Danio rerio: one gene and its partners. The protein of the gene in region 1 purifies or fractionates together with the protein of each later gene. This does not show direct contact. Links are inferred from orthologs where the notes say so. Each region holds a gene or a part of one and is shown in the gene's direction. Other genes may lie near its edges.

Region 1 (7,822 bases):
GTACCCCATCACAGTCTTTAGGGTGGAGGAACATCACAGGTTTGCCATGAGCTCCTATCCGTGGCTCTGGGGAGAGCAGGCGGATTTTCTTTTCCTTCAAATCAACTATTGCTGCATTGATATCATCCACCTGCAATCAAATGGGCAACACAATACTTTTTAGAGAAGTTTAAGGTTCATGATAGTTCCTGTATGTTTTCTGTTAACAAGTAAACTGATTCGTTTCTAAAAAGCTTAAAAAGGTTAGAAGACACAACACAAAAAAGACGGTTTCTGGATTTGTATTATTTTTTCTTTCTTTTTTTTCTTTTATGATAACTGCCATAATTTATGTTAGTTTTATGTTGTAAAGTTGTAAATGCATGAATTAGCACATTAATTATTTAATACTGCATTCTGTTATTTCACATTCATTCTAAAAACTATTTTAAATATGCAATGTGTTTTTAACCTAGGTTATGCATATTCAATGTACATTGTAAATTAGTATGATACATGACTCCAACAAGATTTTACCGGCATGTCTGTTTGCAAATTTTGAGAGAAGCCAAAAACAAGTTTCACTACTAAAAATGTATATCTGACACTTTAGTTCTTCAAAATGCAAAAAGCTTACAAATTTAGTAAACTAAAATAAAAAGCAATACATTTAATAACTGTTCTAAGGGCTGCACAATATATTGTTTCAGCATTGATACTGCAATGTGATCACTCAATAGTTTCATTGCAAGTTATGCGATGTTGAGTTTGTAATATTATAATTCATCATTTGCATGTGTTTTTGAGGCATTCAGGCATACGAAATTGTACATTTTGTAACTTTAATAATGAATTTAGAGTCACAGAAAAGGTAACTGGTTCAAGCCTCGGCTGGGTCAGTTTGCATTTCTGTGTGAGTTTGCATGATCTCCCCGTGTTTGCATGGGTTTCCCCTGGGTGCTCCAGTTTCCCCCAGTCCAAAGATATGCGCGATAAGTGAATTGGGTAAGCTAAATTGTCTGTAGAGTATGTGTGTGAATGAGTGTGTATGGATGTTTCCTAGTACTTGGTTACAGCTGGAAGGGCATCCGCTGCATAAAACATATAATGGATAAGTTGGCGGTTCATTCCACTGTGGTGACCCCAGATTAATAAAGGGACTAAGCCAAAAAGAAAATGAATGAATGAATAATAAATTTAAAATATTTTTCATTTGTATTATTCAATTACTGTACCTGAATACTGTTAGACTCTGAGAAGGATAAAACAGTTTATTTCTATTGTATACTTTTCTTACTGTATTTATATATTGATAATGAATTTAATTTATAGAATTTATAAATAGATTTATGCTTGTAGATTGTTTATGGAGATGCACCCTACAGAATCAACCATCTTAATCTAAAATTATGAATTCTTTCCAGATAAAGATTCAAATCATCAGGTGAAATTGTATTCATATTGCAATATACAAATGGCAGAAGAGCAAAATATTGTAATATTCGATTTCTCCAATATCATGCAGCCCTAATTGCTCTATTGAAAAACATACATAATCAAAATCAAGGTAAATGTTATGTATCTATTAAAATCTTATGAAAACAAGCAAGATTGTCATAGCAGGGAACATATCAGCCAATAAGAAGGTGCTTTAAATATTGTATTAAAATCGGTGACCTCCAAATTATAAAGAATAGAGAACTACTGATTTCCCCTAATCTGATGTACCTCAATGCAGATATGATGCATCCCTCCAGCTTTGTTCTTCTGCAGGAATCCTGCAATAGGACTTTTCTCTCCCAGTGGGTGCAGAAGCTCTAGTTTAGTGTTGCCCAGTTCCACAAACACAGTGTACACCCCATGCTCAGGGAGAGGCACAGTGTCGCTCACTTGAGCCCCCAGCACATCACGGTACAGGGCTGTGGCTTTCTCCAGGTCTGGCACTGCGATAGCCACGTGATTCAGCCTGCCCAACTTCCACAATGACTGAGGGACACCTTGACTGACGGGACAAGTCAGAGACAGAGCCCTCACTGGGGGTAAAGTGTGCCAGGCACACCTCGACAGCCCTGTAACTGCAGGAGAGATCAGCCTCAATGTGGATGCAATAAATATAGTACGATAATAATAAATTATATTATGGATTTCAAACATGAAAGCTGTCAGAGAGGGAGACAGATATTACAGAGACACATGCAAACTGAATAAACTCATTCATCGGAAAGATGTAGGCGCAATAAAACATCTCAGCTTACTACTATTTACCTGCAACCTTCAGTAAAGAGGAAGCCATCTTTGTGGTCGCTGAGAGAAAACTTTATTTAAAAAGAACGAAGCACGTGTTTAAATACTCGTTCTGGTTATAAACGCTAAATTAACATATTACTTATTTTTATATTTACATATAAGATGCACAACCTTTATACATAATTGTGTCATACTGTAACTCATTAAATCGCAAAAGGGACAAGTTTAACTTTCTGCGCGGAACTCAATGCAATGCCTTATGTTTCCGGGGGGTTGTGTTTACCAAGCGCACGCTCAGCGTCACCCATGTGAGTGCAGAGATGGCGACGAGGGATGGCGGCACGCTGGAAAGCTGTTTACAGTTATTAAACAGCAACACGTCACACCCGGAGCTATTTCTCAGGTTCGGTGCACATTAAATGATTTAAAAAAATTCTGAACGCGTTACAACATTTTATTGCTTTAAAAGTTATGAAACACGTATCGGGCCACGCATGTGCAAAACGCTCACGTTGTGGTTGCCAGGTTAAATATGCTTTAAAAATGTAAATGACACAGTTATACATGTGCTGTAAATGTAAATAACACAGTTGATAATTTCTCCGTTCATGAATGATTACCTGTGTGAGTTTTATTTTTAAACTTGAAGCTAAAATTATTCGCGTTATCAGTAGTCATTCGGTAAACTAAGTTACAGCTATGTCCGGGAAGAACTTACTGTCATCTTTTCTATTTTATCTATTATAAAATATGATATATTTTATCATCTTATCTATTATTGCAGTGTCCAGGATGTTTTGGCAACAGACTTCAGATCACTTACAAAGACTCTTTATGACCTGCAAAAAGCCCACGAACCTGCAGATTGTAAAGGAAGCCCACTGGAGCAGCTGGTGGTTGAAAACTTCGACGAGGAGCAAATATGGCAAGAGCTGGAGCTTCAGAACAGCGCATTACTGACACACTTTGAGCAGGCAGTCGAGCAGGCGGTCACTGATGATGCTATAACATTTCTGAATGATGAAGGTGATGATGTTGAAGAAGACGAAGAGGAGTTGGAGGATGTTGATGATGAGGAAATTGCTGATAACTTGGAGCAAGGGAGTGCTGAGGAGGAGGATGATGAAGATGCAGAGGAGGAAACTACACAGAGGCTGAAACCTACAAGCAATGGGGAAGATGACTTCTCTGGCGAAGACTCCGATTTGGACTTTGATGTAGATAAATTTGAGAAACAAACCAAACAGAGACAGTCTGCTGCTGGCAAGTTAACAAAATCTAAACCGAACTGGACTCAGTCTGAAGTGGATGACAAGTTTTTTAAACTGTCAGAAATGGAGGCTTTTCTGGATGACATGGATAAAAGAGAGGGAAAAGGGAATGAAGGGGAGGAAATTGATTACTTTCAGGATCTGCCGTCTGATGAAGACGATGAACTGAGCTTTGATAAACCAGTCGTGAAGAAGAAACTTAAGGTAATGGTGTTTATTTTAAGCAGTAACATACTTCTTTGTGTTATTTTGATACTTTTTATGTTTTAATTTTACAGTATTACATCAGTCTACAGGGCTCTAGTTGTTTAATATTAGGTTGTATAGATATGTTGTGTAATGCAGTGCTCAACATAATTGAGTACAACCTGTTTTGAAAATGAATATCTTTATCCATATTTATTTATCCAATAAAACAGATTAAGTAAACAGATGTATTAATTAAAATAATATTTTAGTCACCAAACATATTCAGAAATTGAAAGATAATACAATTAAGTTCAAGCATAATATAAAAAAAAAATACAAACTGCAAAATTTCAACAATTTTTTTTTCCATTTTTCTGTTTCTCTTGGATTTTTTTTTTTTTCTCTTTTAAATTTGTATTTAATATTTTTATATAACATATAAATTTGGGTGTACTAGTAACGGAAGTTATTTTGTTAGATAAACTCCAGATTTGGCTTCAGTACTGACTAATCTAATGTATATGCACAAATATATTATTGTATAGCCTCCTATTAAAATATGAATTTAAAAGAGAGATTTGTGAGGGGTGTACGTGTATATGCTGAGCACTGTGAATTTCAGTATTGATTTATTTAGAATACTTTGTGCTATGATGATGTATTTTGTAAAACTCACAATGGGATTTGGTTTTCAGAATAAAAGCTCCAGAAATATGAAATACAAAGATTTCTTTGCACCTGTGGACGGAGAGCCTGACCCTATTCCAGATGAAGAAAAAGAGCTGGAATCGAATGATGATTATGAGGGAGAAGAACAAGATGATGATGAACTAGAGGAGGAAGATGAAGAGGATATGAATGAGGAGGATTTTGATATGGAGAGGTAAGTCTTGAGGATACCTGCTGTCTGTTTGTGTGATATTTGTGTTACCATAATGTGTTAAAGCAAGCCTACCTCATAATTCTGATCTAATGTTTGCCTCTTCACTTAGGGATGATGATGATGATGATGATGATGATATAGGTGACAAAGTGAGAGATGGTTCACGCAGGGTGACCTTTGACCTTCCTGATGACAGTGAGGGTGAAGATGTAGAAGACATTCTAGGTGGAAAAGCAAAAGATGTGCCTAAACCTGAGTCTAAGTCATCATTTGAAAAGCGACAGGAAAAGGTTTGCTTTATACTAGGCCTGTCATGATTTACAACAAATATATGCAGTAAATTATTCTGTTTTGTGTTGTTTACAGTCCAGCGTTGTTGTACGGCTTCATATAATGTTGAATGATTGTGATTGAATTGAATGACCATTATTAGATGAGTAACCAAAAATTGCGACTTTAAACCGTAAATGAAAAAATATTTCCTCTTTTTTCCTGTAAACTTCAAAGTGTATTTGATAGTGTTGTTTTATGATTGTTTATTCATATATTTTGTACATTTTCAAAACAAGCTTTTATTATTGTATTTTGTTAATTTTTGGTTTAATTTATATACAGTTAAAGACATGATCAAAAGGGCCTACTGAGAAATGAAATCTTTTTAGTGATGTTTAACATGGCAAGGTAATTTCTGACATTATTTCCCATTCTAGTTTTCCATTTTTATAACTTTTTTTTTTTTTATTTAAGAAAAAAAAGGAAAACGGAACAAAATGGGTATCATAGTGTTCACTGTATTAAATCTCAATCCATTTAATGCACCTTATTTACAATGCCGTACTCAGTTTCATCTTTTCTTAAATCAAGTGTTTAGGGATTTATTGTCATTCTGCTACATGTGGGGACATACAGAGGAATGAAATTTCATGCCTCACAGGAAAAGGGTGTTACACAATTAATCATTAATACAAACACAACACTGGACATAAGAGCTTTTAAAAAAAAATAAATAAACCTATGCTTTACTAACATATACTGTAAGATACTTAACTACTTAACTAAAGTACATTTACATGAGTTAATCTTGAGTTAAACCCATTCACATATTCTTTCTTTTAGTTTGGCTGGAATAAAAAAATGGCAAAGGTTAATATTACTAGCTGCTTGCATTTTTTTCTCTCCACAATTTGATACAGTAGTTGTGCAGTAACCTGCTTGTTTAACCCAGCTTGCCTAGTAAACCTAATTAGCCTAGTTTAGACTTTAAATTTTACTTTAAGCTGAATACTAGTTCCCTGCAAAAGCACTAGTGAAATGGTATGTACTCTCATCATGGCACAGACTAAATAAATAAGTTATAAGAAATTGCTAATTTTTATGTTAAAAAATGTTTGCAAAAATATTTGTTAGTCATCTCTTGGGAGATATTTGAAATAAAAGTGAGATTAGAATATATAATTTTCATTAAATTTTATTTATCATGTTTTATTTATTTTTAGTAACTTAAATCTATTTGGACAAAAACAGCTTCTGCCTAATGACAAAAGCGTCTGCTAAATGTAAATGTATTTCAGACAATTCAGCTAACATTTCTTTATTTTTTCATCTTTTTTTAAGGAATAATTGATGATTTTTAGTCGTCAGCCATAACCCTGATTTGCCATCAATTTTTTGCAGATGGTGAAGCAGATTGAAGAGCTGGAAAATGCTGCGTTGTCAGAGAAGCCGTGGCAGCTGTCAGGAGAGGTGACTGCTCAGACTCGACCAGAGAACAGCATGCTGGAAGAGGACATAGCCTTTGATCAGGCCTCTCGAATGGGTGAGAGCTTTACTCGGGCGTTCACAGCAGAAAGCAAACAAATCTAAGCATACTATCAGTGCATGACTTGCATTCTCTTCTCCACAGCTCCTGCAATCACTGAGGAAACTACCTTACAACTTGAGGATATCATCAAACAGAGAATCAAAGATCAGGTTTGTATACAACTTGAGAAAATAGGGGGAAATAATTAGTACATTTAGTGCACATTGTCCCTTTTAACTAAATACAACCTCAAATGATTTTCTTCTTCATGAATAAGATCATGTCTCTCACCGTATCTGATCAGTTTTTGTTGTGTTTGTGTGTCTCAGGTGTGGGATGATGTGGTCAGGAAAGAGAAGCCTAAAGAAGAGGTGTTTGAGTATAAAAAGAGACTCACTCTGGATCATGAGAAGAGCAAACTGAGTCTGGCTGAGGTTTATGAGCAGGAGTATATCAAGCAGACACAGGTGAGCTCAGTGGATCATATCATTTCCTGTCTGTAAGGAATATTTCTGAAGGTAAAATGAAATTTCTACCATTTTTTATTTGTTCCAAAATTAAAACAGAGTTTTGTTGTTCTGTTGAAAACAAAAGTAGATATTTTAAAGAAAGCTAGATACCTGTTGCCATCAGCTTCCATAGTATTTGTTGTTCTTACTATGGAAGTTAATGTTTTCATGTTAAAGGTTTCAGCTTTTTTCATAACCAAATCAAAGAAAGAACTCAAAGGTTTGGAACTGCTTTAGTGTGAGTAAATTTTCATTTTTAGTGGAACAATCTCTGTGAATATGATTATAGGGAAGGGAAAAGGGCTTTTCATGCATTAAAATGATAAGTGTAATACTGCTTCATTAGATTTTGTCTTTGCAAAAAACATGTCTATTCTAAAGCCCTTTACAGTAGTTTATATACCAAACATCTTGTCAGGCCTGTTAAGAACAAGAATAATTTGATAACATGATAAATAAAACTCGATTTAAGTATCACAGAGCAGCTCTGAAATACTGATTTTAAATCTTAATTGCAACTTATCCTTCACATTTTCAAAGTTTGGAGCCATTTGTTGTGTTTTTTTATAATTCAGAGATGGAAAAATCAGTATGATTCAGTTCTTTAATTGAAAAAGTGTAGGTCAGAATAAGAATAGTTTCTTTTAAATATGTTATGTTGAATAAAAATGAAAATATAAAAGTAGACACTGTTTATTGTGTCTTATTTGTATATGAATTATTTAATTTGGACACAGAAACAGGCATATTGTCTTTAAAGCATGTACATATTCAGTTGTACATACAAAGTTTTTGAAAAATACAATAGTCTATTATTTTGGGATATTGTTAATGCCTGTTTTCTCTTAATATAGTTTGAAATGTAGTTGATTACTGTAGTTGAATTATATATTTCTTTTTTTTAATTTTGGTTATTACTTTATTTCTTGCATGTTTAGTTTTA
Region 2 (7,960 bases), on another chromosome or scaffold:
TGGTTCCATCCCAAAGAGGGAAAAAATCACTTTCGCGAACGCTCACGCTCAATCTGCCCAGTTGGTGGAATGAACTCCCTAACTGCATCAGAACAGCAGAGTCACTCGCTATTTTTCAAGAAACGACTAAAAACTCAACTATTTAGTCTCCACTTCACTTCCTAAGCTGCAATTGCCTCTTTGAATATCACACTAATTGTACAAAAAAAAAAAAAAAAAAAAAAAAAAAAAAAAAAAAACACTTCCCTTCTTAGACTTTACAGACCTGAAACTTGCCTTTAGTACTTATTCATTGTTGCTCTTAGTTGTGTAAATTGCTTCCTTGTCCTCATTTGTAAGTCGCTTTGGATAAAAGCGTCTGCTAAATGACTAAATGTAAATGTAAATGTAAATGTTCTCAATTCCAGTCTTTGGGCCTGCACACTTTGTATGTCTCTCTTATTTAACACACACAAGGATCAATTCATGGATTCTCTGCTAATGAGTTGATGATCTGAATCAGGTGTTTTAAGTAAGCAAGACATGCAAAATGTGCAGGGTGAGGGGATCCAGGAACCGGAAATAAGAACCACTGGCTTAGATAATCTAGATTAGCCTACATGTAATCCGTAACTACCCAGCTCAAAGTAGTAAGTAAACAAACACAAGATAGATGCAAAGACAAGATTTCTTGGCAAACTGACATCAAAGGTGTTTGTGCAGCATGATGTTGTGGGAAAAAACTATTTCCTCCATTTTGATCTTATTGCCATGTCTACCGCAGACACCACTGGAACCACATGACTACCGAAACTAGTATTGAGACTTTCTTTGACGGTCAAAAACATAGAAAAATAGCCTATTTTTATCTTTGATGCGAAACTCTTAATAACATTATGTGTATCTCAAAGATCATTATAAGTTGAATTATAAATTATAAACATCAACTAGTGTGCAGCATAAATGTGTACACCCAATTTTGAAAATTAATGTTTTTGTCCATTTCTCAGTGAATATAGGCAATGCATTTGGGTGCATTTAAACCAAACAAATTTATTTATTAAAATAATTTTTTAGTCACCAAACATATTCAGAAATTGCAAGATAATGCAATTGAAAAAAAATCTACAAAATATGCATTTTTCCCTTTTTTTCTTCTCTTGACTTTTCCTCTTTTTAAAATTTGTATTTATTATTTTTCTAAAACGTATAAATTTAAATGTACAAATTTTTGGACCGTTAAGTTAATTTGTTAGATCAGCTTCAGATTTGGCTTCAGTTCTGACTAATCTAATGCACACATATAATATTGTACAGCTTTCTACTAAAGATATGCATTTAAAAGAGATTTGTGAAGGTTGTGCTACTGTACTTATATATGCTGAGCACTGAATGTTTCAACTACTATTTTGTCAATCAATATGGCAAGCCATTTTAACATAAATACTCTTACATAAATGCTGTATAGTCATAATTTTATTTTTGACTAGTCCAAATTCCAATATAATTTCCAAAAATCTATTTTATATTTTTGACTTGTTTTAACTGGAATAAAGATATCTACAATGTGGTTATGACTAAGGCGCGTTATGTGCATTAAATATGTCTACAGCGTTATTGTGACTAGTCCTAAATATACTTTTGGGATATTTCAAATTCTAATTTTACTAGCAGTAATAAAATGCTGCTAGTAACTATTTTATTTTTAGATATCTCTAGTGTTTGACTTGTCATTACCAAACTAGAGATATTTAATTTAATTTACCATATTCAAGAGATATCCAAAATACAATTACAATAATTTAGCACTAGTCAAATTACTTTTATATCATGAATTGGACCTTTGGAACCAGCTAAATGTAAATAGGAACCATTTAATGTAAATAAAATTGAAATTCTTCTTAGTCAAAACTCATTTAAAGATATCTCTAGTTTTATTATATAGCTCAGTCTGGTGAGCTGATATCTGCATTCAACTTTGTGACTTTGAATAAAGTCATGTAGTTATATGTTATATTAACATTCTGACTATTCAAAATCATTTTATGGATACCTAAATGATCTTTTTGCACAGCAAGTTCCAGCCACCATAAACCTGTAGTAAATGGTCAATGTGATTCATGAATTTCATACAGACCCATTTGTATTTAATTTAATCAGATTACAGTCATTAAAATAGACTGCAGCATTAATTTAATTGTTCAGGTGTAAAACAAGATGACAAGACACAGTACGGGAGCACAGAAACTCCATTGAAAATACTATGGTAAATTAAATTTCTAAGCAAGACACAGAACAATGGAGTTTAAAACAGTGCTTCTTATCCGGTCTGAGATTCACTTTCTATCGTACAGTATATCAATCAGGCAGTGAATTTGATTTTTAAATAAAACAGATCTTAAACTCTGCGATTTTGTAATGGCAGTTGACATAACAGTTCACCGGAAGTGTTTGAGGTGGCTTACTGAAAATTAAAAGTCCATGACGAGGTATATTTTCGAAATATGAATGAATTTTTTTTACAGTATATTTAATGGAGAGCTGAGGTAATCACGTCGCAGAACGATTTGTACTAGGAGCAAATTCAGATATCTCTAAATATATTTGAGATCAGTCAAAACCAATTTCAAGAATTTTCTTTTTACCTTTGAGGATGTATGATGTCAAATAATATCTATGTCATATGCCAGAGTAGTTGATGGTTCATTCTGCTGCGACCCTGATAAATCAAGGATTAAGCCAAAAGAAATGAATAAATTATTAAAAATGTAAAAACAATTAAATAAATAATAGCTTTCCCAAATATAATCAAAATACATTTACAGGCCTATGTGGAATCTGTTTTCTTACTAGAACATTTATGATTGCAGATTTCTCCAATTGTCATTCGGACTAGTCGGATTATAACATCGTACGTCACAATGCAATCGTTCCGAAATACCTTCATTGGTCAGAACAAAGCTTTGTTTAAGCTAAAACGGCTTGCCATAACTTTATTTGTATTGTGCCGAGAACTTTTATTTTGAAAGACCGCGTCATGCTTGCTTGTTGTCTAACAGGAAGTCGTGATTGTAGACCGTGAGGCAGAATTGTCACGTGTAGTTTCTCAAAATGGTTAGTACAACTTAAATATAATGTATTTATTTTATTAGACATGTTTGAGTTTCGCATTAAATTCATTTAATCCGTTTTTCCTCTCGCGCTTCATACATAAGGGGTTTATGATGCCAATATTGTGGCTTTTTACTTGTGTTATAGTGTGATCAAGCTCTAACTTACAATGAAGAATGATCAGTATATAAACCTAACGTTATATTAAAAGTAGGATTTTGTTCCCTACCCAGTGTAAAAATCGGTACAGTTATTTATTCATGTTAATTGATTCCCTAAAAGTAAACTTAATTTTTTTTTCAATTGTTCTATAATTGTAGCATAACGTTAACGTTAATTGTCTTAAAATATTTGCCAATAATATACTCTCTGTGAAGATCATTATATATTGTGACATGAGCATATACAGTAGCTATATTTGGTCTTGATAGCTACATTGCTTGCTTTTTATCTAATGCAGTCCAATTTTGCAGTAAGCATTTCATGCATATGATTTCCCATTAAGCACTATATTCAACTGGGACAATTTCAATAGATCAAGTGAGACCTAGCTTTATGTTAAAGTGTAATTTTATTTAAAATCAAAATTGTCCTTTTTAACTTGCTATTTATCAAAGAATCCTGCAAGTCTTGTAGTTTCCTCAAATTCATTTCAGCAGCACATCAGTTTTTTTTTTTTTTGGTTGAAATGTTTTTCAGCATATTAGAATAGTTTCAGGATCATGTGACGATGAATTAATTTTATTTTAATTGTTTCTTTTGCCCATAGCTGCGACGGGAAGTGAGACTGAGGAAGGAATACCTGTACAGGAAAGCCCAGGAGGACAGACTGCGCACTATTGAAGAGAAAAAACAGAAGCTCAAGTCTGCTTTAGATGGTCAGTTTCCAGCAGTAAATAGCTTGTCTAGGGATGCAACGATTTTAGATTTTGGTTGTACGATTATAGTCTGAGGAATAATCACACATTCACGGTTATCACAATTATTATGCGTTCATTAATATTAAAACACTACTAGTTTAGAAAATCACATGGACTCCTTATATTTTAAAGTGTTGTTTACTGCTGCTCAGTAAACAATTAATACAACACAAAATAATAATAAAAAACAAACAATTGTCCATTTCTTTTTGGACTTATAAAAGAAAAAAATAATAAAAAATAAATAAAAGAAAAAAAGATTTTGACTTTTAAACATAAGTAATAATTTTACACTAATAATAAATGACAGAACAATAAATAAATAAATTAAAATAAGAATAAATAGAAAAAAAAGGATTTGTCCAATGTAAATCTTAGCTACATATTAGCTCAGTGTTTCCCTTTTAAAGAAAATAAATGTAGTCAAAGGCTGCTGAGCCTCAGTCTGAAAGACGCTTTTAATCAACTATATTATGAACTTTTATTGTATTTCATTTTGTTCTCCTTGTAGTAGAAATGTGTATATTCCATACATATTATAAAGCTGACTGGTCTGTTCTTGACTGGTCTAGTGACTTGCAGTGCACTAGCGCCGTTCTTTCAACTAGGTGTGCCTGGAAATTGTAAGCCCATTGCTGTCAATATGTGCGCAAGAAAAGAAAAAATGAACTTTCTGCCCCAAAAGGTGCGATATGTGAATAACCGTTAGTTAACCTCAGCCATAGTTAAAGGTTCCCGAAACCGCTGAATACTTTTTTGAGATTTTAACAGAATTGTGTGTGTTGAGCATCAGTTAAGACAATGTTAGCACCTGTCAGCTTTTATTGTGAGGAAAACTGGATAACTTTGAGCTTTTGTCGGCTAATTTCAGCTTCCGGGTTTAAAATGATTTTTGGTGCGGGATCAAAATCGGAGACATTGTGCAAAACTGCAAGTGCAAAGATGACACGTTGGTTTCTCATTATTATTCATAGCTGAGTTTTCTTATCCTATGAGAAGAGACTGCTTCTTAATGATTCATGACTGTTGGCATAACTTTTTGTTGAAGCAGTTTTGTTCCGTGCTGAAACGCGGTGTTGAGAAGCCTTTACGATTAATTAACCGTGACGAATTAAAGCGCAGTTGATAGTGAAATCGGTTAATCGTTGCATCTCTAAGCTTGTCTAATGTATTTTGAAATTGTCATATTTTAAACTTCTCTTGCAGAAAATCGTCTGTTACCTACTGAGGTTCGAAAAGAGGCATTAGAAGTACAGAAACTCTTGGAGTTCGATGATGAGGGTGGAGAAGGTGACTTTTTCTCTCACGTATATCAGAATTGAGTTTCATCTCTTACTGTATTTAAACCTATTTATTACATTATTTAAGGTGTTAGTTCTCATATGGATGATGAGTACAAGTGGGCAGGAGTGGAAGACCCCAAAATTATGGTTACAACATCCAGAGACCCCAGCTCCAGACTCAAGATGTTTGCCAAAGTATGTTAAATCGTATTATTCACATTTGACACGCATGAGGAAGTACTATGGTTTAAAACACTTGTACTTATGCAGGTGTTTTGCATATAGTGACGTATAGGAAACCAATATCTACAGACTGTGGTTTATTTAGGTATTTTTTGTTTTGTTTGACAGGAAATGAAGCTAATGTTTCCGGGGGCCCAGCGTATGAACAGAGGAAACCATGAAGTTAAAACTTTAGTACATGCGTGCAAATCTAATAATGTCACTGATCTTGTTATAGTTCATGAGACCAGAGGTCAGCCAGGTATGGGCTTTTATGCTGTATCGTACTTGTAAGTCTACTTTCATATCCCTCTTGCAGTTTTTGCTCAAGGTATTTATGTCTTCTTGTTCTTTTAGATGGATTGGTGGTGTGTCACCTTCCTTTTGGGCCAACAGCCTACTTTACCATGTATAATGTGGTAATGAGACATGATGTTCCAGACATTGGCACCATGTCCGAAGCCTACCCTCACCTCATCTTCCACAACTTCACATCACGTCTTGGACGAAGAGTGAGTTGTACACCCTGAGAAATGATAATAAAATGAGTTTCTCATCTGCATAGCCGTTCAAATGTTTGGGATCTGTATGATTCCAAGAAAATGAATACTTTCAAACCTTTATGACTTTCTGCCTTCTGTTGGACACTAAGGAAGATATTTTGAAGAAAGCTGAAAACCAGTAACCATTGACTTCCATAGCAGGAAAAACAAAAACTATGAACGTCAGTGATTTCAGATTTTATTTAAAATATCTTATTTTGTGTTAAACAGAAGAAACTACGATGGAAACACTTTAAAGGAACAAATTCCAGTATGCGCATTAAAGTCATGTGATTTTATGATAAGAGATCATGTGATGATAAAAATGTGTGTGAATGGATAAATAAGGAAAGCTGACCACATTGTAAAACATCTGCAATGTTGTTGTGGTCATTCTAAAATATCTTAACCATTTCAGTTTTAGTGTTGTTATATTATTAATTACATACAGAACTGCCAATTGCATCTCTGCTCCACGTCTCATGCCTTTAAACGCCACCACATGGCAATTGCATGTTGGCATTTGTCTTCTGAGGTGCAAGTCATTTATTAAATCAAGAAAAGATTGATGCAGCTTCTCCTACTGCAGCAAATTTTGTTTTTACTGTTGATATTTGAAATATCAGTTAATGCCAGTTCAGGAAGCGACGATTTTATTCTCTTTGACTCACTGGATGAAAACGCTGCTTTTGCTCATAAATTTAATTAGCATCATTGAAGGGAAACTGGCTAATGAAGACTAAAAATTTAGCTTTAAAAATCAAAGTACTAAACTTCAGTTTAAAATATATTAAAACCGTTATTTTAGTTGCTTTTGTAGTAACATTTCTATTGTATGTGTAATAACATTTAACTGTATTTGTGATTTAAATGAATACAGCTCTTTAAAACGACCCCAAACTTTAAAAAAGCTATGTTATATGTTCTATTCTATTTATATTTTAAATAAACAAATATCATTAATGTCTTGATTATTGTAATGATACACAGTTGTCAACATTTGAAGTGGACCTTAATTTTTTAAAAGTCTTAATTTTGATAAACTTTTTAGATCCACTTCGTATGCTGTAGTCTAGGCTCAATCGAAGGTCATGCACATTACAATAAGCTTTGTAATGTGAATTATTATTTGTTTTTTTTTTAGGTGTCCAACATTCTAAAGTATCTGTTCCCTGTACCCAAAGAGGATAGCAGACGTGTTATTACGTTCGCAAACACAGATGATTACATCTCTTTCAGGTGAGTTGTGCTTTAACTGCTGTATCAATGATTCTGAGCAAAATAAACATAACGACTGTGGAATTACTTAATGTTGCAGACACCACACTTACAAGAAAACTGATCACAAGAACGTTGAGTTGACAGAAGTTGGACCTAGGTTTGAAATGAAATGTAAGGAACTTTTTTTTTGCGTGTGTGTGTAAATTTGTTTGTATTTGTGCAAAATGGACACTTGTGTTGCACATTGCTCATCTTGAATTAATATCATGTATTTATCATTTTCAGTGTACATGATTAAGCTGGGCACGCTAGAGAATGAGAGTACTGCAGATGTTGAATGGCGACACCACCCTTACACACGCACTGCCAAAAAGAGGAAATTCTTGAGCGTGGAATAGGCAAATGTTTCTTCAGAAACCAGTTTTGTCAACATGGACATTTTATTTTCAACTGCACAGTGGTCTTTTTCCATTTAATCGTGACATTTAAAACAGAGAAATTGATTTCAATACAAAGATATTGTTTGCTTGTCTACACTTCCCCAAAATAAATCTTTTGTACAGAGGTCACACGGACATTAAAAGAAACATTCTTTACTTTTGTATTATGCATTTTTAATTATCTTTTGAGGCAAGACACTGCAGGCAGTACCACTGTTGTGCTTTCAATATTATGAAAAGAA
Region 3 (5,956 bases), on another chromosome or scaffold:
TCTAGCAGCACACTCCATTTCCGCATTACTGGATCTGTAGCGACAACAGACCGCAAGGGATTATGGCCAAGCCTGGGCTGATGGGAATTGTAGTTTCCGGTACCTCCCGTTCGCTTCATTCGCTTGAGCAAATTTTCTCAGAAGACCTATAGTTTTACCGAGTCATGCGACTACGGTAATATCGAAAAAAATTTATATTGCGGTATGACGGTATTCACAATACCGTTACATCCCTAGTGTATATATATTTAATATTAAGTGACTAAAATTTTAATTATAATTAAAAGGTTAAGTAAAATAAAATAGCATCAAATTACCGCAGGCAAATGTTTACATTACTTAGCTTGGTTTATGGAACTGGCCTCTTTATTAGGTACACCTGTCCAACTGCTCATTGACGCAGATTTCTAATCAGCCAATCACATGGCAGCAACTCAATCCATTTAGGCATGTAGACATGGTCAAGACAATCTGCTGCAGTTCAAACCGAGCATCAGAATGGCAAAGAAAGGTAATTTAAGTGGCTTGAACGTGGTGTGACTGTTGGTACCTGACGGGCTGGTCTGAGTATTTCAGAAACTGCTGATCTAAGCTGATTATTACACACAACCATCTCTAGGATTTACAGAGAATGGCATGAAAAAGAGCAAATATCAGGAGTACAGTAACTCAAAAAACCACTCATTACAACAGAGGTCTGCCCAAGAGCATATCTGAATGCACAACATGTCCAACCTTGAGGCGGAGAGGTTACAGCAGCAGAAGGCCACACAGAGTGTTACTACTGGCTGCTAAGACCAGTAAGATGAGGCTACAATTTGCACAGCTCACCAAAATAACACAATAGATTGGAAAAACATTGCTCTGGTCTTTCTGCTGTGACATTCAGATGGTAGGGTCAGAATTTGGCTTTAACAACATGAAAGCATGAATCCATCCTGTCTTGTATCAACGGTTCAGGCTGGTGGTGGTTGTGGTGGTGGTGTAATGATGTAGTAGATGTTTTCTTGGCACATTTTGGGCCCATTACTACCAATTGAGCATTGTCAACGCCACACCCTACATAAGGAGTAATTTTGATGACCATGTCCATCCCTTTATGACCACAGTGTACCCATCTTCTGATGGCTACTTCCAGCAGGATAACACGTCATGTCAAAGTGCAAATCAAATCATCTCAGACTGCTTTCATGACAATGAGTTTACTGTACTCGAATGGCCTCCACAGTCACCAGAACTCAATCCAATAGAGCTCCTTTGGGATGTGGTGAAACCTGAGATTCACATCAGGAATGTGCAGCCAACAAATCTGCAGCAACTGCATGATGCATTCATGTCAATATGACCAAAAACTCTAAGGAATATTTCCAGTACCTTAAATATATGCCACAAAGCATTAAGGCAGTTCTGCGGGGTAAAGGGGGTCCAATCTTGTACTAGTAAGGTGTACCTAATAAAGTGGCCAGTGAGTGTATATATCAATTTTAAATAAACATGAGAGCGCACATGTTTTTGCCTATATGATGCACACGCAACCTAAAGCCACAGGTGACAGTTTGAGTTGTTAGTGGATTCATGTGGTCAAATGTAAATGGGACCATTTTCAGAAATCAAGATAGCCGTCTGAGAAAATGCATGAAGTGGCCCAATGTAAACCAGCACTTTAAGTCTGCTATTAATACTGCTTATGTTTTCTCACCGCTGATTTAGTCTGTGTGTGTCTGTTTTAGCCATTGAGAGAACATTTTACAGCACATATTTACAAATTCATTCAAACACTACTCTATGGGCAGTTTTAAGGTGTTCTCTAACAGTTTATCAATGCTCTGGTAATTTCAAACCTTTGCTTCGAGTATATGAGGACACGTTACATGTTTTATGGACACCGTTATGGCTGAGATTACATTAATATACCTAAAGTGCTCTGATTGTAAACTGTATGCTCAAAAAAACATCAAGCCCTTGTCACTCTGTATAATTGTCAATGAAAATGCATCTTGACTGAGCAACAGATATTCGTGTTGGGCCAGAAGTCATCACTGATCCTGCATTTCTTGTAACAAGGTTTGTCCATTGAAAGAAAGAAAGATAAAAGAAAAAAGTTAAATTATGTGAATCTTTGGCAACTTTTGTTGTGCAATATTTTCACAGAAATATGGAAGATTTTGTCACATGGGTGGATTCCTCCAAGATCAAACAACATGTCATGAACTACAATGAGGAGGTACGTCACAATACATGAATAAATGATCATACACTAGAGTTCAATATCAAGTCGATTACACTCACCAAGGCTGTTTTTAAAATACTTTTTAAAATTGTAACTATTGAAACGAGTATTACAAATTAAAGTAAAGCTTTTGTATTGAAATGTTTTACAAATTGAATTTACTTTGATGATGGCAAAGCTGAATTTGTAGCATCATTACTTTTTTAATTTCAGAATTCATTTTAGTATGCTTTTGATGATTAAGAAACTATTAATATTGTGCTGGACATTTCACAATTTTTCGATAAAAACGAACAGCATTAATTAGAAATATGAATATTCTTTATTGAATATTTTAGTCAAATAGTTTACAATTTAATCGGTTAACAAAAATATATAGCCGATGTTTTAAATAAAATACCTCCAATTTTGATCAGTGTATGCAAAACGTTTAATAATGAAATGCATTCAGGAAAATATTTTCACGTTTATTTAACACATTTCTCCCAGTTTGAATGAATGCTGCCGTTTCTATGATCACATTGATGCTGGTTAAATGAATACAAAACATTTGAACTAATCGCTTGTTTGTTAAAGTTACAATTTTTTTTTTTCTTTCAGCGCGATGACTTTGACCTCATGGCCTAAATCTCCAAGTGAAATGAAAATTTGGATTTCATCCAGAAATTCACTTGTGATTCTTTAATAATGCACAGATACATATTTATTTCCTGCTCCACAGAAGCGAGCATTTATCATTCTTGAAAAAGTGAGTAAATGTATTTGATTTTTGTTATTGTGCATCATTTGTAAACAAAACTTTTTTTTCCAGAATTTAGTTGTTTCTAAAAAACTACCTTCACATTTTACAAATAAATCACAACTTAACCCACAAGGTATACCAAATATAATTTGCATAGCTCTGTTTCCAACATACAGGAGACATACAAGGCAACACACGCATCTTTAACTCCTTCCACTGACATGTTATAAATAAGGAAGGACATCATCATTACAAACCCTCACTAACCTGCATTCAGTATGTCAAAACAGACACAACTTTAAGGCCAGAACAGACTATTTGGTGTCCGAACCATTTTTTTTTTTGTGAGCAAGGCCCTGAGAGTTTCTGCTTGAATTTGTTCCGTGTATTTCACAGCCACCAGAAGCGCACGTAAATGATGAGTGTGATGATAATGACTGCGCCGGCAGCCACTTTAGCGTAGGTAGACCGGGTGTTCAGATATTTGGCATCACTGCGGTACTTCTTAGACAGACTGGACAGATTACTTGCTTTGGAATCCAAGGCTACAGGAAGGGAAAAAAAAAGACATTATTTCAAAGCATTTCAAAATACTGTTATACTTAAACAAATGCAAAGAGTAATCTGCTCATACCAGTACCCTTAAATGCCACTTTACATCTATCCAATAGAAGAAAAACTCAAGATTTTTCTTATAAAATATATTAAAGATAAGGATTGAAACGTATTTTAATATTGTTTTTCTATAATTATCAATTATTCTGGTGTTGTGCGCTGGTAATTTTGCTGATTTAAACCTAGTAATGGATCGATTATCATTGTGGTCTGCATAATAGAGTACACCCCATTTTGAAAATGAATATTTTAATCTAATTCTCAGTGAATATAGACTGTGTTTTGGTGCATTTAAACGAAACATGTTTGTTAAACAGATATATTTATTAAAATACCATTTTAGTCACCGAGCACCTTTAGAAATTGAAAGATAATACAATTAAATTCAAGCAAAATTTAAAAAATAAAAATACAACCTACAAAATTTTAAGTAAATTTTTTGATTTATTTTCCTTCTCTTGATTTTCCCTAATTTTTAAAATTTGTATTTAATATTTTCTATAACAAAAACTTTGGGTGTTTTTGGAGCGTTAGCGCAAGTTATTTGATAGATAAGCTCCAGATTTGGCTTCAGTACTGACTAATCTAATGTATATGCTTAAATATAATATTGTAGAGCTTCCTGTTAAAACATGACTTTAAAAGAGAGATTTGTGAGGGGTGTGCTCAAATATGCTGAGCACTGTACCTTCACCAAGTGTCCAAGTCCTTGTCTGAGCGATTCACTAAATAATTCTGAAGATTCATTCAAAATTCCATTCATTTAGTTTACAGAAAGGGTCATAGAATAACTGACTCTGATTATCTGCTCAAACTATCATTTAGGAACATATTTTGCTTTCATTGTAGGGGTATTCTAATGCCTTGATTCCACTGAGTATCATAAGGTAAGGTACAGTACGATTCGATATAGGTCAACCTGATCAGCCTTGCATTCCCACTGCCAAGAGAATCTTTTTACTTGGTGTTGCAAACAATAATGTCATTCTCACTCACATACATCAAGCCGTGTACAGATTGCCTTCTCTGCACTCAATTTCATTATTTCAAATGCAGACGAGCAGCAAATAGAGGAAGAAAGTGGTCCGCTTTGTACATATTTAGATGTGATTGTTATGGCTTGTTGCACATGCAAGTGACAATTCTCTGTAAACCAGTGGCATTCATTGGCAAGTCTAGCTCCACCTTTTTGTTACCATACTGTTGTGCCATGCACAGTTATGAAGAAGTCGCAAAAAAATTGTTATGGGTTTGTTATTTTAGTACTTTTGAAAGTGGAGACAGAAATGAATGTCTACCGTAGAGTACTGAACTGTAACACTAAGTGGTTTATTAACAGGCATTCATGGCTTCAAATGATTTTAGATATGCTGTGAATATTTTTTTTGTTGTTCAAAGTGAACAAAGTATACTATAATATCAGCTCTTTCCTCACTGTTCATTTCAGGATCTGGGGCCTCATGTACGAAGACTTGCGTTGAATTCACACAAACAGTTTCATCAGTCAGAATCAGGACCTAATTTGAGAGTTGTAACATTCATTCACCCTTTTAGATAAGGTCTTCTCAAATCTCGAGCGCAAGTCCTCTTCACGCTATGAGGTTCAATGTTGATTAAAAAAAGGTTTATGAGTTTAAACACTGATAGTGACGAGAAGTGTGTGCGTCTGGTTTTACGTGCATTAGCACGCTGTCAAAACTAGGGCAATAGTCTAATAATGGTGTGAATGACTGGACCTGAGGACAGTGAAAAAGTTTAGTGGATGTTTACTACATTCAAATACATGCAAAGCCAGTTTAGAGAGTAACTAAAGGAATGGGGAAATGCCATTTTTAAATTTAAATGCAAAACTTTTAAACAATTTAAATATGCGTATTGAACAGTGGAGGGTTTTACAGAATGGTTCAATATCATTTTGAGTATGGTGGCATCTCTACTGCCACAATACAAAAATTAGTTAGCATATCTTGATGACAAAATATGCTACTCATCAGACGGTGCTAGTGAGTAGTGTAATATTTTCCTAACCTACTCTAATTCCAACTTTGGAACTGTTTAAACTACAGTGTTGCATAATCAGATGAGTGGGTTGCAATGTTTGGACACTGGTTTTTATGTGAGGGGTTCTTCCTTCTGATTACGTGGTATGGTGATGTCAGTAGCTATGTTTCCATCCAAAAATGTGACTAAACTTTAAGTGCAAAACTCGATAATCGCATAAAAGACAAGCGAATAAAGCAGCGTTTCTATCCAACGAGTCAAAGTGAACAAAATCGTCAGTTCCTGATTAACTAGCGGTAACTAATGGTAGAAACGGAATTTGCAGCAATATGAGAAGCTACGTCAATCTTTTCTTTATTTAATAAATG

The links.
Region 2: the proteins of mphosph10 (region 1) and imp4 purify together in Homo sapiens (affinity purification with mass spectrometry; 3 studies listed by BioGRID and IntAct, with this or other methods). This does not show direct contact. The link is inferred for Danio rerio from reciprocal best matches to the Homo sapiens genes MPHOSPH10 and IMP4.
Region 3: the proteins of mphosph10 (region 1) and imp3 purify together in Homo sapiens (affinity purification with mass spectrometry; 4 studies listed by BioGRID and IntAct, with this or other methods). This does not show direct contact. The link is inferred for Danio rerio from reciprocal best matches to the Homo sapiens genes MPHOSPH10 and IMP3.

The regions. Positions count from the first base shown.
Region 1 is NC_133182.1:30,738,576-30,746,397, reverse strand, and holds the start of mphosph10 (U3 small nucleolar ribonucleoprotein protein MPP10), read left to right. Parts: upstream 1-2,514; 5' UTR 2,515-2,546; coding exon 2,547-2,629; intron 2,630-3,010; coding exon 3,011-3,701; exon of another isoform or gene 3,702-3,803; intron 3,804-4,175; exon of another isoform or gene 4,176-4,285; coding exon of another isoform or gene 4,286-4,381; coding exon 4,382-4,569; coding exon of another isoform or gene 4,570-4,570; intron 4,571-4,678; coding exon 4,679-4,859; intron 4,860-6,243; coding exon 6,244-6,385; intron 6,386-6,472; coding exon 6,473-6,540; intron 6,541-6,699; coding exon 6,700-6,837; intron 6,838-7,822. UniProt on the Homo sapiens protein: Component of the 60-80S U3 small nucleolar ribonucleoprotein (U3 snoRNP). Required for the early cleavages during pre-18S ribosomal RNA processing. Part of the small subunit (SSU) processome, first precursor of the small eukaryotic ribosomal subunit.
Region 2 is NC_133180.1:27,456,308-27,464,267, forward strand, and holds imp4 (U3 small nucleolar ribonucleoprotein protein IMP4), read left to right. Parts: upstream 1-3,022; 5' UTR 3,023-3,090; coding exon 3,091-3,093; intron 3,094-3,859; coding exon 3,860-3,968; intron 3,969-5,216; coding exon 5,217-5,300; intron 5,301-5,378; coding exon 5,379-5,488; intron 5,489-5,644; coding exon 5,645-5,777; intron 5,778-5,872; coding exon 5,873-6,027; intron 6,028-7,201; coding exon 7,202-7,296; intron 7,297-7,375; coding exon 7,376-7,449; intron 7,450-7,563; coding exon 7,564-7,676; 3' UTR 7,677-7,844; downstream 7,845-7,960. UniProt on the Homo sapiens protein: Component of the 60-80S U3 small nucleolar ribonucleoprotein (U3 snoRNP). Required for the early cleavages during pre-18S ribosomal RNA processing. Part of the small subunit (SSU) processome, first precursor of the small eukaryotic ribosomal subunit.
Region 3 is NC_133177.1:10,330,593-10,336,548, reverse strand, and holds the end of imp3 (U3 small nucleolar ribonucleoprotein protein IMP3), read left to right. Parts: intron 1-2,012; coding exon 2,013-2,064; intron 2,065-2,151; coding exon 2,152-2,224; intron 2,225-2,529; exon of another isoform or gene 2,530-2,830; coding exon 2,831-2,857; 3' UTR 2,858-3,115; downstream 3,116-5,956. UniProt on the Homo sapiens protein: Component of the 60-80S U3 small nucleolar ribonucleoprotein (U3 snoRNP). Required for the early cleavages during pre-18S ribosomal RNA processing. Part of the small subunit (SSU) processome, first precursor of the small eukaryotic ribosomal subunit.